2 linked regions of the Tamandua tetradactyla genome follow. The protein of the gene in region 1 purifies or fractionates together with the protein of each later gene. This does not show direct contact. Links are inferred from orthologs where the notes say so. Each region holds a gene or a part of one and is shown on either strand. Other genes may lie near its edges.

What was found.
Region 2: the proteins of CSK (region 1) and TNS3 purify together in Homo sapiens (affinity purification with mass spectrometry; 4 studies listed by BioGRID and IntAct, with this or other methods). This does not show direct contact. The link is inferred for Tamandua tetradactyla from reciprocal best matches to the Homo sapiens genes CSK and TNS3.

Annotation. Positions count from the first base shown.
Region 1 is NC_135338.1:67,191,927-67,198,754, forward strand, and holds the start of CSK (tyrosine-protein kinase CSK), read right to left. Parts: upstream 3,018-6,828; 5' UTR 2,807-3,017; intron 1-2,806. UniProt on the Homo sapiens protein: Non-receptor tyrosine-protein kinase that plays an important role in the regulation of cell growth, differentiation, migration and immune response.
Region 2 is NC_135327.1:69,656,380-69,664,212, forward strand, and holds the start of TNS3 (tensin-3), read right to left. Parts: upstream 3,014-7,833; 5' UTR 3,009-3,013; coding exon 2,907-3,008; intron 1-2,906. UniProt on the Homo sapiens protein: May act as a protein phosphatase and/or a lipid phosphatase. Involved in the dissociation of the integrin-tensin-actin complex. EGF activates TNS4 and down-regulates TNS3 which results in capping the tail of ITGB1.

The DNA.
Region 1 (6,828 bases):
CCATCTTCCCAGGGCAGGTCAATCACATGGTGATGAAGAAGGGGGAAGGCAGGAGGCGGGGCAAGGCACTGGTCATAGGAGCCCAGAACCTCAGTTCAGAGGACCTTGGGGCAGGGGCCATCCTCAGCCCTGCCCGGTAAGCAGTTAGCCAACTCGGTCCAGGGCTCAAACAGCTCAAACAGCTCAAATAGCTCCACCACACATCCAGAAAGCCTGCTGGAGGCATTCTCTCCACACCACCCCACTAATAAATGGGAAACAATGCATAAGCTCAGTAACAGGGCTTGGGTGAAGTTGCTCTGGCAGAGCTATTTGGAATATTCTGTAGCTTTTTAGGAGGAAAGTTACTTAGCCTGTGCAGAATGTGAGAAAATGCCTATGGCCCCAGTAGTAAATGAAAAAAGGCATCATGGCTTGTACATTCGAACGGCAACAGTAAGAAAAGAAATCAGGAAAAGCTGGCAGGAAACTCCAAAATGCTAATAATGACTGTGTCAGGTAAAGGAATAGTGGGTGATTTTTGTTTTCCTTTCTAGATTTTCTGTAGTGCTGTTTTGTTACTTTCAAAGTTAAGAAATTAGTACTCAGGTAGCAGCCGGCCTGCCCCCAGCTCAGATCCTGGCATCTGCAGACGACCCCAGCATTTTCCACTACAGGGCAACTGCTTGACTACAGGACACAGTAGTTTCTCAGACACACAAGGAGGAGAGCCAATAATCTCTCCTTACCTTCTCTTTCCCAGACCAAATACTCCTGTTCTTTGGGAACTGGGTCTCAATCCTCCAAAATACCTCAAAAGATGGAGCCCAGAACTAGACACACGCTGTCCTGCCCAACTAGGCCACATTCCCTAATAAACCACCCAGAGACTTTTTGGGGGCAGTCATGTCACACCTGTGCTCATTCGGTGTGTCCTCTCTCCAACCCTTGCCATGGGACACTCCCACTTGAGGCTCAAGCTCTCTAGGCCCAGAGTCCCCTGGGAACATCTTCTGGTCCTTTCATGCTTTCCATTTGATGTAGAGAGAAGAAAAGCCCCTTCAGAGGGGGAGGAAGGTACCAAGTTTCCCAAATGAAAACTGCACACACACTAGTACCTTCTACAATGGCCTTGGGACTCCACGCCTCATCCTCACAGCCCACGGTTCATAAAAAGCATCTAACCATGCCAGGTCCCATCCACAGGCTGGTGAGGAAGTTAGGGCTGGGGCCCAGGACAGCTGGGTCCCCTCTAATGTCCCTGATGGAGCAGCAGGGAGAGAACCCTAAACCAAGGGCAGGGGCCTCGAGTTAGACAAAACTGCCAGCAACCCCAACCAAGGAAGCCCAGGCACTGCTCAGCACCCTCCAGGGACCACCCCCTCCTAGGATAAAGATGAATCTGCCATACTTCCAACCTCACACTTGCTGCCTTTGCCCTGTTCCTACTGTGGACATGCTAAGACAGTGGGACACCCAGGGTGCGGAGTTTTGCAATAGGCCCTGTGGGTGTTCCCATTCTGACAATGGACCATGCAAAGGGTGTAGGGAGCTACCAGTGGTATCAGGGCTCCCATTTTCCTGATCCTGAGCCCATCCCTGTTCTGAACTTGGCTGTTTCCGTGCTGGGGGGCCGGGGAGGTGGGGAGGGCAGGAGGGCTGGAACACTACTGACCACCAAGTTGTTCCAGCTCAGAGTCAGGGTCCAGGACTCCAGCATCCTTGACACACCACACAGTTCGCACCTCACACCTACCACATCTCCTACCAGTGGGACCTAGCCTCAGCCACCAAGGGGAAATCCCACAGACAGTGCTGACGCTGAGTACAGACCAGAGGAGCTGGGGCCGGAAGCCCTCACCCTCCTCTCTAGTCCTCTGTAGAGGAGCACGTGCTCACCCCGCACCATCCCTCCTAGGCCACCTTAGTCCCTAGTGGGTGATGGTGCCTTCCAGACTCCCCTCCATCCATGGCAGCCCAGCTCTGCAGAGATGGGGTATGAAAGGATGGTATCCTAACTCTGCCAAAGGTCTGGGGGTAGTGACTTCCCCCTTTGGGCCTCGTTTCCTTGGTCTATAAAATGGGTGGGGAAGTAAACCCTTAGTTAAATTCCAAGGATACAGAGGCTGGACACGCCCATTCCTGACAGCTGGCCTGGGCCCTGGGAACCTGGGAGAATGGGCTGACCAAGCTGCATGGAGGTGAGGGCACAGTGCTAATGTCCAGTGTCGCCTGCACCCAGGATGGAGGCCCTGCCCAGTTTCCCTGCCCAAGGGTCAGAGGTCTCTCAGCTCAGGCCTGGTCTTCTGGGAGGCAGAGGGTCAAAGGCTCCAACCCAGGACCTGGGCCTATGATAAGGTTCAAGGGAAGTGGCTGGGCCCTGGGCTGCCAGAAGCTAGCAAGGCCTCGGTGGGGAGTGGGGAAGGGGTCAGACCCATGCAGGCCAGGACACCTGCAGGGAGGACCTGGCCATGGAAGAGCAAATTCCCATGGAGTCCAACATCAGGGTCCTGGCCCACCCTGGCACCAGGCTCCAGCCACCGCCCCCACCCCCATCCCCCCAGCTCCACAAGGGGGGGAACTCGGGTAGGCCTGGGCCAAGTCTGTGTGGCTCGCAGGGCAGTGGCTCTCCCCGCGTGCTCCCCTCCCGGTCCAGTTCTGACAGGGACTCCCGGGAGAATTTGAAGCTGGGAAGGAGGGGATAAGGGAGATGGGGGATGGGAGTGGACGCGACGGAGGCAGCCACGGAAGCGGGACGTGCGACCTCCACCGTCCTCCCTCGGTGGACACTCACACCCCGCCTCCTCCCGGGCCGCCGGGCACTCACCTCTCTCCCGGCGCTGCGGTCCGAACCAACTCGCCGCGGGCGGCATCAGCGGCCTGCGGGACAGTCCATGCGGCCGGGGGGAGGGGGGGCGCAGGGGTCCTCGGGGGTGCGTGCCAAGAGGTCCGGGGACGGAGAGAGGGGGGAGGCAGGGCGGCCAGACCGAGGCAGGGGGCAGGCTGCGCGGCCGGGTCGGGGAGGGAAGAAAGACGGGGGAAGGGGGGGTGGGAGGGAGTAGGGGGGAGGAAACAATGTAGCCGGCGCGGCCCCCGCAGAGTTTCGCTTCCGAACGCCGCTACCCAAGCTCGACTTCGGATGGTCGCGTCCGCTGCCAGGGGCCGCCCCTGACGCTCTATCGGGGGCCGCGGGGGCTCCCCGCGCTCCACGTCCCGGAGGCTCCGGCGGCCACAGGCTGCCTAGGGCGGGAGGGGCGGCTGGCCGGGGTACAGCCTCGACGGCGGTGGGGACAGGCGGTCTCCCCGCTCGGACCCCACCCCGGCAGGACCCCCCGGGACAGGGCACGGGGTGGGGCGGGAGCGGGAGGGCGGCGGCGGTCTCGGCGGCGGCGGCGGCGGCCAACCTCGGCTCGCCCGAGGCTCCGCTGGGAGGAAGCTCGCAGGCCTGGCGAGAGGAAGCGCGGCCCGGATCCTCCGCCCGCGGCAGCGCGCCTGCGCGAGGGGGCCTGCCCGGCGTGCGGCGGGGCGTGGGCCGGCGAGGCGACGCCCCCTGCCGGGCGCCGGCGGCACTGCGGGGGGGGTGTGTCCGCGCCCACGCCCTGCCCCCACCGGCCTGTCTGTGTTGGAGGCTCCTGAGGGTCCCCCTCAGAGGGTCGACCACCCCACCTTGAAACAAGCTCTGAGCGCTCTCTTGTCAGCTTTCCCAAAGTAGAAGCGATGGAGGCCGGGCCTCTCCTCCAGTCTGTAGGGGGTGGGCCTCACTGGCCGCAGTGAGCGTTCATTCATTCATTCACTCATTGCTCTCTAGGAGATCTCAGTCTGGTGGGAAGACTGACAGGTTAAAAGAAAATCGCAAAGAAATAATTGATAAAAGTAGAGAGGTGATGTACAAGGTCCACAGGAAGCAGAAAAGAAGGGAGGGTTGATGGGGAGACTTCACAGAGCTGGGACACCAGGCAAAGGGAACAGCATGGGGGAAGACAAGGGAGAGGTGAGAAAGGAGAAAACTTCTGGGAACTATAAAGAGCAAGCAGCTTGGGGTGTGGTGAGGTGAGAGTGGTAGGAGATGAGGTCCCTGCAAGCAGCATGGGCAAGAGCAATCACGAAGAGCCTTGTGGGACTTCCTTGGACTTTATTTCCAGCCTTATGGCAATGAGGAAGTTGTTAAAAGCTGTGTGACCTTGGGTCATTTACTTAACTTCTCTGTACTTCAGTGTTCACATTTGTTAAAATGGGGAGAATCATAGCACTAATATCTTAAGATTTTTAGGGAGGAAATGAGTTAATAAATTTAAAGTGCTTAGTGTGCAGTGGCTGGTACACGTTGAGTCCTTAATTAAGTATTGGCTGATATATATCTTTGCGGAAAGTGATCTGCTCTGAGCTACAGGACCACCAGACAGTGTGAGCTGGGGTTGGGGGTTGGGGCTGTGGTGGAGGAAACTGAATATACCAGTGTCAAAGGAAGGAGTTCAGAAGCATCAGGCTTGTGTGGGCAGAGAGGAGGGTGCCTTCCCTGGTGGGGAACGTGAGGCATGTTGGCAAAGTTTTGGAACCCAAAATAAATATGGAGGGGCCAAGGGAGTAAAAGGGACAGGGAAGGGCCCTGTGGGAGATAGTGCTGGGGAGACATGGTGGCTGCAGATTGCAAAGGGTCTTGAATACCAGGAGCAGGAGTTGAATGTCCCCCACCCCACCCCAGAGAAACCACAGGTTGTCCCTCTGACCCAATAAGCCCCTGGGTCAGCTTCCTAGCAAGGGGCCAGACCTTTGGGGGAGAGAAACAGCAGTAACATGCTTACCCTTTGGGGAGATATCCAGGAAGTCTAAAAAAATATCTGTGGTGTAATGGAAAAAAAGCATGAGTTTTAAGTTCAAATCTCAGGGTTAACTCTCAGCTTGTCCATTTACTAGCCGTGTTAGTTGCCTGAGGTCTCTGAGCTGTTTCCTCTTCTATAAAACCAGGCTCAGAATACACCTTTCTCAAGGGAAGTGGTGCAGATTCAGCAAGACAGGAGCCTGGGGGTGGGCGAGGGGTGCGTGGGGAGGGTGCTCAGCAGGGCTGATTTCCCTTTCTTTCCTCCGGAGATCTAGATGGAATGATAAGGTGGGGCCGGATGGAGGTGGGGTGGGGTGGCTGCCTCTCTGCCCTCAGCTGCTCAGCAGAGACTTCTGGAATGGAGGGGTTGACATCTCCTTCCCCTCCCCCTGCCTAATCTGTTGGCAGGATGGGAAAGAAGGGACTGTCAGGATTTGGAGAAAAATATTCCAATCCCTGAGGAGCTTCATCACCAACCTGTCTCCACCCCCTTCATCCCCCAAAACACTTGACCCTTTTCCTGCATGCGCCGATTGTGAACTTTGGAGTCAAATAGACCTGCATTTGAATCCTGCCTCCACCTCACAACAGGAGTCGATGGAAGATTTTTAACCTCTCTGCACCCCAGGGACTGGGGCTAAAACCCTGAACAGATCAGTCACAGGCTCCAGCCCATAGAGCTATCCTTTAGGGGGAGTGCCAGACAAGTCACCTCCAACCTCCTCATTCATTCATTCATTCAGCAAATCCTTAGTGAGTACCTACTAAGTGCTCGGTCCTGTTCTGGATGCTCAAGATGAAGGAATGACTACTACCACCCCGATTCTTGCCTAAGGGGGTAAATAAATAAACAGTAATTAGACAGTGGTATGAAGGAATTGAGCACGTGATGGGCTTGACAGGATGGAGAGATGGTTCTCCACTTTGAGACCCAGAGGAGAAGGTGGAGCCAGACCTTGGAGGAATGGGGGAAGATGTTCCAAGCCTAGGGCACCGGGAGGTTTTAGACCCAGGCTGAAAAGGGCTCTGCGGCCAGGGGACATCCAGAAGGCCAAAGTGGTGAGACCAGCAAGCAGGGGAGAGTGGCCTGAGAGGAAGCAGGGAAGGCCAGAATCAAGTGCCTGATCCTGTAGGGCATTATGGGCCTGGGATTTTATTACATGAGTTTGCATCGAATCTTGTAGAAGGATTTTAAGCCCGGGAGTGGCATGATCTGAAATGTGTTTTAGAAGGCCTCTCTGGTTGTTGGGGAGTAAGGGGGAGGGGCTTAAGAGTGAAGGGTGGAGAGAATGAAGAGGCCAGTTAGGACGTCCAATACCGCTGTTACCCTGGCCCAGGCCAGCGATGTTAGGCGCGGGCTCTGGTGGAAGTAGAGGGGAGACGAGAAGTGGCTGGAACAAAGGAGAGTCGACTGACAGCTCTATGCAAAGTTGGGTGGCTCTCCAGAAGTCCAGAGCTGAAGCATTTAATGGCTGGACTGGGTCTGAGTCCCTGGGGACGGGAAGGGCCCCTCCTTCCTCCACCCTGCTTCTTCCCCTCCCCCAGCCTCACTGCGCCAAGATGACAGTTTAGAGAAGCTGGTGTGAAATAGTTTGAAACTCAGACCTTCTGGGCGGTCCCCTGGGGCAGAAAACAGGAAGCCAAGATTAAAGGCAGATTTTCTGCAAAGTCCCTTTCTATTTCCTGCAGAGCAGGTGCTGGGGCTGAGCTGCTGAGCTCGCTGGGAAAGGGCGCTGGTCCATCTCTGCTCACTTTCAGTGGGGGTGGGACCCAGGGGAAACGGGACCCCTCGGAGGCCAGCCCTCCCGCTGGGGTAGCTGTTCTTAGGCCTTGTGATCACTGGCTTCACCAGGGAGCTCCTGCCTATTTCCTTGGAGAATCAAGCCCTCTCCAGAAGGAGATTGTGGAAGGTGGAAAAAGCTGTGCTGGGAACAAGTCCCCAGCTTTGGCATCACCCAGGCCTGGTGTGAATCCCATTTCCCTACTGCAGGTCTCACTGACCCTTGGGGTTGAGAGTGAGAGGTACAAGC
Region 2 (7,833 bases), on another chromosome or scaffold:
GTTTAGGAGGCTCTGCCTTCAACCGAATGCAAAATTCTCAGTGAAATGGAAAATGCCCATTAGCCCAGGGAGGGAAATGGGTCCCTGGGTACCCACACCATGCCACTTGATGTGGTGAAGCAAAGTCATGAGAAAGCATGAGAATCTGCACATCTGGAAGCTATGTGGATGGAGGGAGTCCTACAAACCCACCCACACTGTGGTGGGCTGCTCCTCAGGAACCACGCATAGTCGTTAGCAAGAATGAATGGATGCTCTCCTTTATGAGACACAAACGGGCCTCAACACAGCCTGGGTTTCAGAATCACCCAGGCCTGTGTTCAAATCTCAACTCAGCCACTTACATTCTGGATGAACTTGGGCAAGTTACTTAACTTTTCACAACTATGATTCCCTCACGAAAATCATGATGAAAATGCCTATTGCATAGGACTGTTGTGGACAAGAAATGCAAAGTGCTGAGTCCTTGCTTGAGACTCAAAACCTATGGCTCAATGAATTTGTTATGCAGAGTTCTAACACTGAAAGGCAAGTGTGGAATGGAGAAATTCAGAAGTTCATTTGGTCAAACTATTCTTGTCTGCAAGATCTGCTGACTGTGAGAACCTTCTACTAGTCCAACAGGATGGAACAGAAGTTACGTGAATATTTTTAAGGCTTCCTCTGCTCTCAGGATCCAAACTACTTCTTGGGAGATGCCTGAAGCAGTTCTGCCTCTGGTGCACCTTGTCTTTGCCACTAATTTTCTGTGTGACTATGAAAAAGTTGTGTTCCCTCTCTGGACTCCAATATCCTCTGACTTGCTGAACTTCTATGATTTCAACCACCAAGTCACATCAAACTAAAACTAGTAAATATTTATGTATCCTAATCAAAGCCCATGAATTCTGTGATAAGTACAAAGAAAAGGGAATTGTTGGCAAGTGGTTGGCTTTCCTGTAAAACCAACGGGGAGAATTTGGGAGCTGGAAGTTTGGGCGCCCACAACCGCAAATTGAATATTTCATTAGGGTCTCTGGTGCAAGGGAGAACTGGCTTCCCAGAAACACATTCTCCCCAGTGCCAGAGTTTTACTTTTCCCATCTTAAAGCAAGTCAGACTTAGGAAACCTCCATTTCCATTTCCTGCCTCTCCTCTCCAGATCTGTTTCTCAGTTTGGCATTTGGCTTTCAAACTTCTTACTCCCTGGACCTTTGCTCACGCTGTGTACTCAGAATGCCTTTCCTGGCTTCCCTGTCCACCAAAATCCTACACTTCCTCCTGCAACTGCAGGTTACCAGACAGATTTAAGCCTGCCTCCTCTGGCTTTGCTCACTGAGATAGTGAAATCCATTTAGTACGGATGGTTATGTGCATGAACTTCGGGCATGCATGCCTGGGTGTGTATTTCTCTGTCTCTTAGTGACTGTGTAAATTCGGAAGGGCTCTGTGCCTTACTCTTCTTATCGATCATATGGGGTGAATAATGTGCCATTCCTTCTAGGGATGTAATAATTAAGTGAGCCAGTATTTGTAAGTATTTAACACTTCACAGAGGGAGTATTAGGGAAGGACCAGCTGTTATATTATTGCATTTATAGACTGGTGTTCCAGTTGGTTTTTAATCTTCTGTGCCTCTTCCAGCCCGAAGACCGTGATAACAGAAGCTATATTCATTTTCATCTCCCTGGTGCCATAGACAGAGCCCCCACTGGACTGGCTGAAAGAGGAATGGACAGTATTCCACAGTCAAGTCTTGTTACAGTTCACGGATGACTTTCCTCCATGGTTTAACAGAGGGACAGTTATTTTGGGTAAACTCAGATACGCACATTTTGAGATTACCTAAAAGGCTCCCAGCTTTTGCAGAGGAGGGAGCTAAAACACCAAGAATTGTGCTGAGCTCTTTGATCTACCAGACTTTGTTGATCCTTCCCCTAAAGGCATGCCTGTCAGTTTGCAGGTAAGCAAGCTGCTTCGGAGAAGTTAAGCAACTTGCCCAAGGCTACTGAGCTATTCAGCAAAGAAGTAACATTTGAATGTGGGCTAGTTGCTTAGAAGCCAACACTCTCTCTCTTGAAGGTACTGTTTATAAATAAAGTTGGGGGCTGAGGACAAGTTTGGGCTGGGAAGTGGTAGGGTGGTTAAGGATTTAATAAAATCTGCCTTTCCTGCCTTCATAAATAACTGGTGCTGAACGCATTTAGAGAAACGCAGGCAGTGTTTTAATACACCAGAGAAGTGTTCAGAGCCTAATGGAGGAGCAGATTTCTGTAAAAAGAAGCCACTGAGAACGAGATGGCCCCGAATTTATTTGCAAACGCTGTGGAGGAACAAGTGGTCACTGGGATTGAAAGAGGCATATCCCAAAATCAAAATTTTTTTAATCACGGATTACAACTAAGAAAAGTGAGGTTCCCAGACCGGAGACCGGGTACCTGCTGGGGTCCAAAGCCCATACCCTCCCCCCTCACATCCCAGAAGACAGAAAACTTTACAAGGACCTTCTCCCCTCTAACCCATGACCTGTGGGGTCTGCCTGTTGAGGATGGCAAATGGGCGCAGACACAGCGCTCTTCCCTGCGAAGCTGACTGCCATCCCCCGGGGCACCGAGAGGGCACGGGTCTCTGACTTAGCTGGCCAAAGCCGACCACAGCAAGGCCGGCTGCGGGACCGTCAGCGACCCATCCCGGTTTGGGACCCGTGCTGAAGGCAAACCCCCAGCAGCCAAACAAAACTTTTCAGCCTGGAAAACTCTGCCAGCGCCAGCATGGGAGACGCGTCTCAGTCTAGGGACGGTTCCATTGAGCGCCACGTGAAAGCAGCACCCGGGGAAGCAGCACCCGGGAAGAGGGGTGGGCTCCTCCCAGCATGGCGCCTCCTGCACACGCCCCCCCCCCCCCCCCAACCAGCACCCTCTGCTTACCTGGGTCATGGCCACGCGGGCTTTGGCTCTCGGGGTGTGGGGGGCCGGATGAGCGGCGCACAGCCCCTGCCGCACACGGGCCAGGCTCGCGGAGGCTCCCATGGGCTCCGAACTCGCAGGAACAGACCGGACACGCCCACGGCCCCGCCCCACCCAGGCAGCCGCTGCCGCCGCCGCCGCAGTTCGCCGACCTCCGCCAGCGGGCGCTCCTCTGGCTAGGACGCTGAGCTGGGCAGGGCACTACCGGGAAGACCCCACTTCGCTCCTCGGGTGGGACTGGGGGAGACTGAGGGAGGCAGTGCCTTCCCCTTAGTGCTGCAGAGCACACCGGGGCGTCCTGGAACCCCTCAGCGAATTGGGGGAGCAATAACCTGCGTCCTAAATGTGAAGTTGAAGAGGTTTCCTGGCAATTAATTTTCTGGTAAGGAAGAAAAAAAGTGATGCACTTTGAAAAATTCTTAGCAGGCATTTGATTTAGGCAGACTTTTACAAATACATTTTTACATATCTTTTTAAACATATGTACAAAGCTTAATCTACATTTTTTTTATTAATTAACGGAAAAAAAGAAATTAACCCAGCATTTAGAAATCATACCATTCTACATATGCAATCAGTAATTCTTAACATCATCACATAGATGCATGATCATCGTTTCTTAGTACATTTGCATCGGTTTAGAAGAACTAGCAACACAACAGAAAAAGATATAGAATGTTAATATAGAGAAAAGAATAAAAGTAATAATAATAATAGTAAAAAAAAAAACCTATAGCTCAGATGCAGCTTCATTCAGTGTTTTAACATGATTACTTTACAATTAGGTATTATTGTGCTGTCCATTTTTGAGTTTTTGTATCTAGTCCTGTTGCACAGTCTGTATCCCTTCAGCTCCAATTACCCATTATCTTACCCTGTTTCTAACTCCTGCTGGACTCTGTTACCAATGACATATTCCAAGTTTATTCTCGAATGTCGGTTCACATCAGTGGGACCATACAGTATTTGTCTTTTAGTTTTTGGCTAGACTCACTCAGCATAATATTCTCTAGGTCCATCCATGTTATTACATGCTTCATAAGTTTATCCTGTCTTAAAGCTGCTTAATCTACATTTTAATATATAGTGCAGGCAGAATATTAAACACCTTTAATTCTCCAGTAACGTGCACATCGAAAAAAAGAGATCTATAGTCTTCTTTCAGAAGATTCATTAAATATAAGAACAATTTAATACTTGTACTTAAAGTTCAGATAATAGAAAAAAGCTAACCCAAATGCTAAAAGAGGGATAACTTTGCCCTCTCCCCCCATTCAGGCTTATTCATATGCAGGTGGTAGACTCTTTGTTTGCAGTAAACTCACAACTTGGTAGACTTTTATTTTTACTTTTTATTTTGAAATAATTTCACACTTACAGGATAATTGCAAAAATAATACAAACTCAATACAGAGAACTTTAATACACTGCCCCCAACACCCAGATCCACCCATTTTAATCTTTTGCCACCTTTGAAGTATCATTCTTTATCTACCCACCCATCTATCACCTATTTATCTTTATCTATTTTCTGAACATTTGAGAGTAAGTTGTACACATCATACTCTTTGAACACATATTATTTCCATGCACATCTTCTACAAACAAGGATATTCACTTATGTGATCACTTTCAGTACAGTTTTCAAGTTCAAGAAATTTAACATTGATATAGTTCCTATATCCCACTAATGTCCTTTTGAGTCTTTTCTCCTCCATTCTTAGATCCCATCCAATGCATTGCACTTAATTGTCACTCTTTTTAGTTTCTCTTTCTTTTCTAATTGTGGAAACATGCATACAACGTAAATCTGCTCCCTCTGGAACTGGGGCCAGGGACCAACACTGGGGGTGCAGGCTGGCTCCACCACGGTAAGGGTGGGAAAGGGACCAACCAGGGCACCAAGAAGTTTCTACCGCTTATAAGGAGCCTTTCTCCTGACTTGGCCCTGGCCCCCTGACTGCAATCCTTTATCTGTTTTCTGGAGCTTTGAGAAATATGTTTCTGCCAGTTCTTGCTGTTGGTTCAAAGTATTTCAGAAGGGTGGATCCCCAAAGCTTCTTGCGCTGCCATCCTGAAGGGTTGGGGCTGACATTGTTTTATCCTTCTACTTTTACTTAACATCTTATCAAGAAGCCTCTTCCGCTATTGTTAGGTACATTCACAGTGATCATTTTAAATTAAGGCATAATCCCATTAGGTAGATTTGCTGTAATTTATTTAACCATTCCCTTCCCCCACCCCTTGTATTTAGGTTTTTCCAAGTTTTCACCATGATAAACAATGTTTCCAAGAAAAAAGCATCATTGTGAATCTTTGCCCACATGTATGATCACTGCAGGGTACAAAGTCCAGAGGGAATCCCAGGTATCAACATTTAAAGCACTTTTGGTGTTTGTCGTCAAACTCCACATCCATTTTTACCACAATGGGGCAGTTGATAATTCTTTATCTCCAGATGCGGGAGACTCAGGAAAACAATACCTAGAAACCAGCTCCTTGTTTCCCACCATGGGTTAAGTTTGCCTGAGGGAAGGATGTCATCTCTCAGCTGAGAAGTTCATTCTGCCTGTTTGAAAAAGGACCCTCTCTGCCCTCTTCATCAGCAGCTTCTGTCCTTGCTGGTGGCTTCCGGGTGGTCTCTGCGGGCAGTGAAGGAGGCAGGGATTTGCATTTTCCCTGAACACGTGGGATGATGATTTCTGCAGCAAAACCTCAGCTGCTCCAGCCTCAGGGATCAGCTCCCTGGGGTGTCAAAACCCCTGGGGGAGACGGGCTGCAGGGTCGGAATCAGGCTCTGCCACAACTCCACTGGGGAGATCTGAAAAGTAAACACAGATTTTAGTAAATGATTTTAAAAATCGACTGGGTGGGACTGTAGACTTGCTTACATGAGACCTACTCTAGCCAGCACCCCCCTGGGAACAGGGGAAGAGAAGCCCATTAACACAAAAGAAAGTGGTTGGATTTCTGTCCTATTTCCTCTTAGTTAGCAGGACAAAGCACATATTTACAGAAACTATCTGTCCATCATTTTCGGTTTTTCAAAAATGTAGTTTACGTGTTAGAGGGTTTCATTTATCCACAGATGGTGCCTAGCTGATAACAAACAACCCTGAAAACATTTGCGAGTGGGTGACGTCTTAACCTTTCAACTTTCTGTGACATGGAAAAAGGAGTTTCCATTACAGAGGGATTATGCTTACTCTCCCGAGAAAATTTCTCTGTTACCTTTGGGCTGGACTGGGGCCTTTTTCATGACACCTCATCAAATTATTTTTCAGCTGTTTCTCTCCCCACAAGATGTAAGCAGGAACCCACCTGTGTGAGCTCACTTTGGGATATGCAGAAGCGGGAAATAAATATTAATGCTTTGAACTAAAGGTCTATTAGCTTTATTTACTTAAATTTAAATGTATTGACCATATACTGTGTGCGCTGCATGCTGGGGGTACAAAAATGAAAGCACCTAGCAACCTGCCCTTGAAGAGTTCATAGCCAGGGGACCACTCCTCTTAGAAATGGCTTCCTGCCGGTTCTGGACAAGGAGAAGGCAGGTGAGAAGGAGGCTCCAGGTACATCTGCGTCCTCTGGTACAGGGTCTACCTGCACGAGAGCTTGGAAGAAGGTCTGTTTTGTTCAGAGTTGTATTCCCAGCCTGTAGCATACAGTGGGTGTGCCCTAAATAATTGTTAACTAGATGAAGAAATGAAATATATGTATGATAAGGAGCTGTATAACCTTCCAGTATTCTCTTCTTGGAGTCTCAGTGTCCCCCAACCTAACAGTCATCCCTTCCTGCACAATAAATCTATTCTCCTTTACTGCTGACCAGCTCACTGCAGAATAGCAGGAGGGCAGGTTTCCGCAGGGTGGGGTGGCCCCTCAGTCCAGGAGAAGCCCTGGATCATTCCCCCCTGGTCCTGCTGCCATGAGGCTGTACATCTTCTGAAGAATGGGGTTTCTTATTCAAGACTGCTAATAACGGCTATATCATTCTTTGAGTGCGACCTACAAACTCATTTCATACATCTGTCTGATTTGCTAAATGTGAAATAAAATTACTGCCTCTGATTTGCTAAATGTGAAATAAAATTACAGTTCACCCTCTCTCACTATCTCTCTCTCTCTCTTTAAGAATTTTAATCCCTAGTTGTTAGAACTGGTTGTAAGTGGTTCTATTTTTAACACATGCCCATAAGGTAGAGACCACATTAAACAAATATGATACTCTGGGCACATTCTAGATCAGGTCATCAAACCCACAGTTTTTACCTTCTGTCTTCATGATTAAATTTTGCATAATGAATTATGAAACCAGTAAAGAAAAAAACATGGCTAAAAATAAAATGTTTTATGGCATCAGTAAAGACCTACAGTCTGCAATAGGCCACCGGACAGATGGTGAGTCAGTGCTTCCTGAAAGTCTTTTATTTCTACACCCTTGCTAGGTTGACCTTCACAAACCACTTCACATGGTTTCTCTTTTCCAAACTTGTGGTCATCCCCAGGGCCCCAGGAAAAGAATCCCTAAGGACCACTTCAGTAAATTGTTTCCAAAATTCTGATTCCTGTTTTCAAAATTCTGAGTCTCTAACATAGTAGTTCTGGGTCTTGGACATTGCATTAGTTTCTATTGCCCTATAACAAATCAACACATGTTTAGTGGCTTCAAACAATGCAAGTGTACTATCTTGCAGTTCTGGAGATCAGTAGTTCCAAATGAGTCTCACAGTATGAGAATTAAGGTCTTTCTAAAGTGGTTGGTGTTCCTTCTGGAGGCTCTAGGAAATAATTCTTGCCTTGCCTTTTCCAGCTTCTAGATGTCACCTACATTTCTTGGCTCATGGCACCTTCCTCCATCTTCAAAGCCAGGAATCAGAGAGCT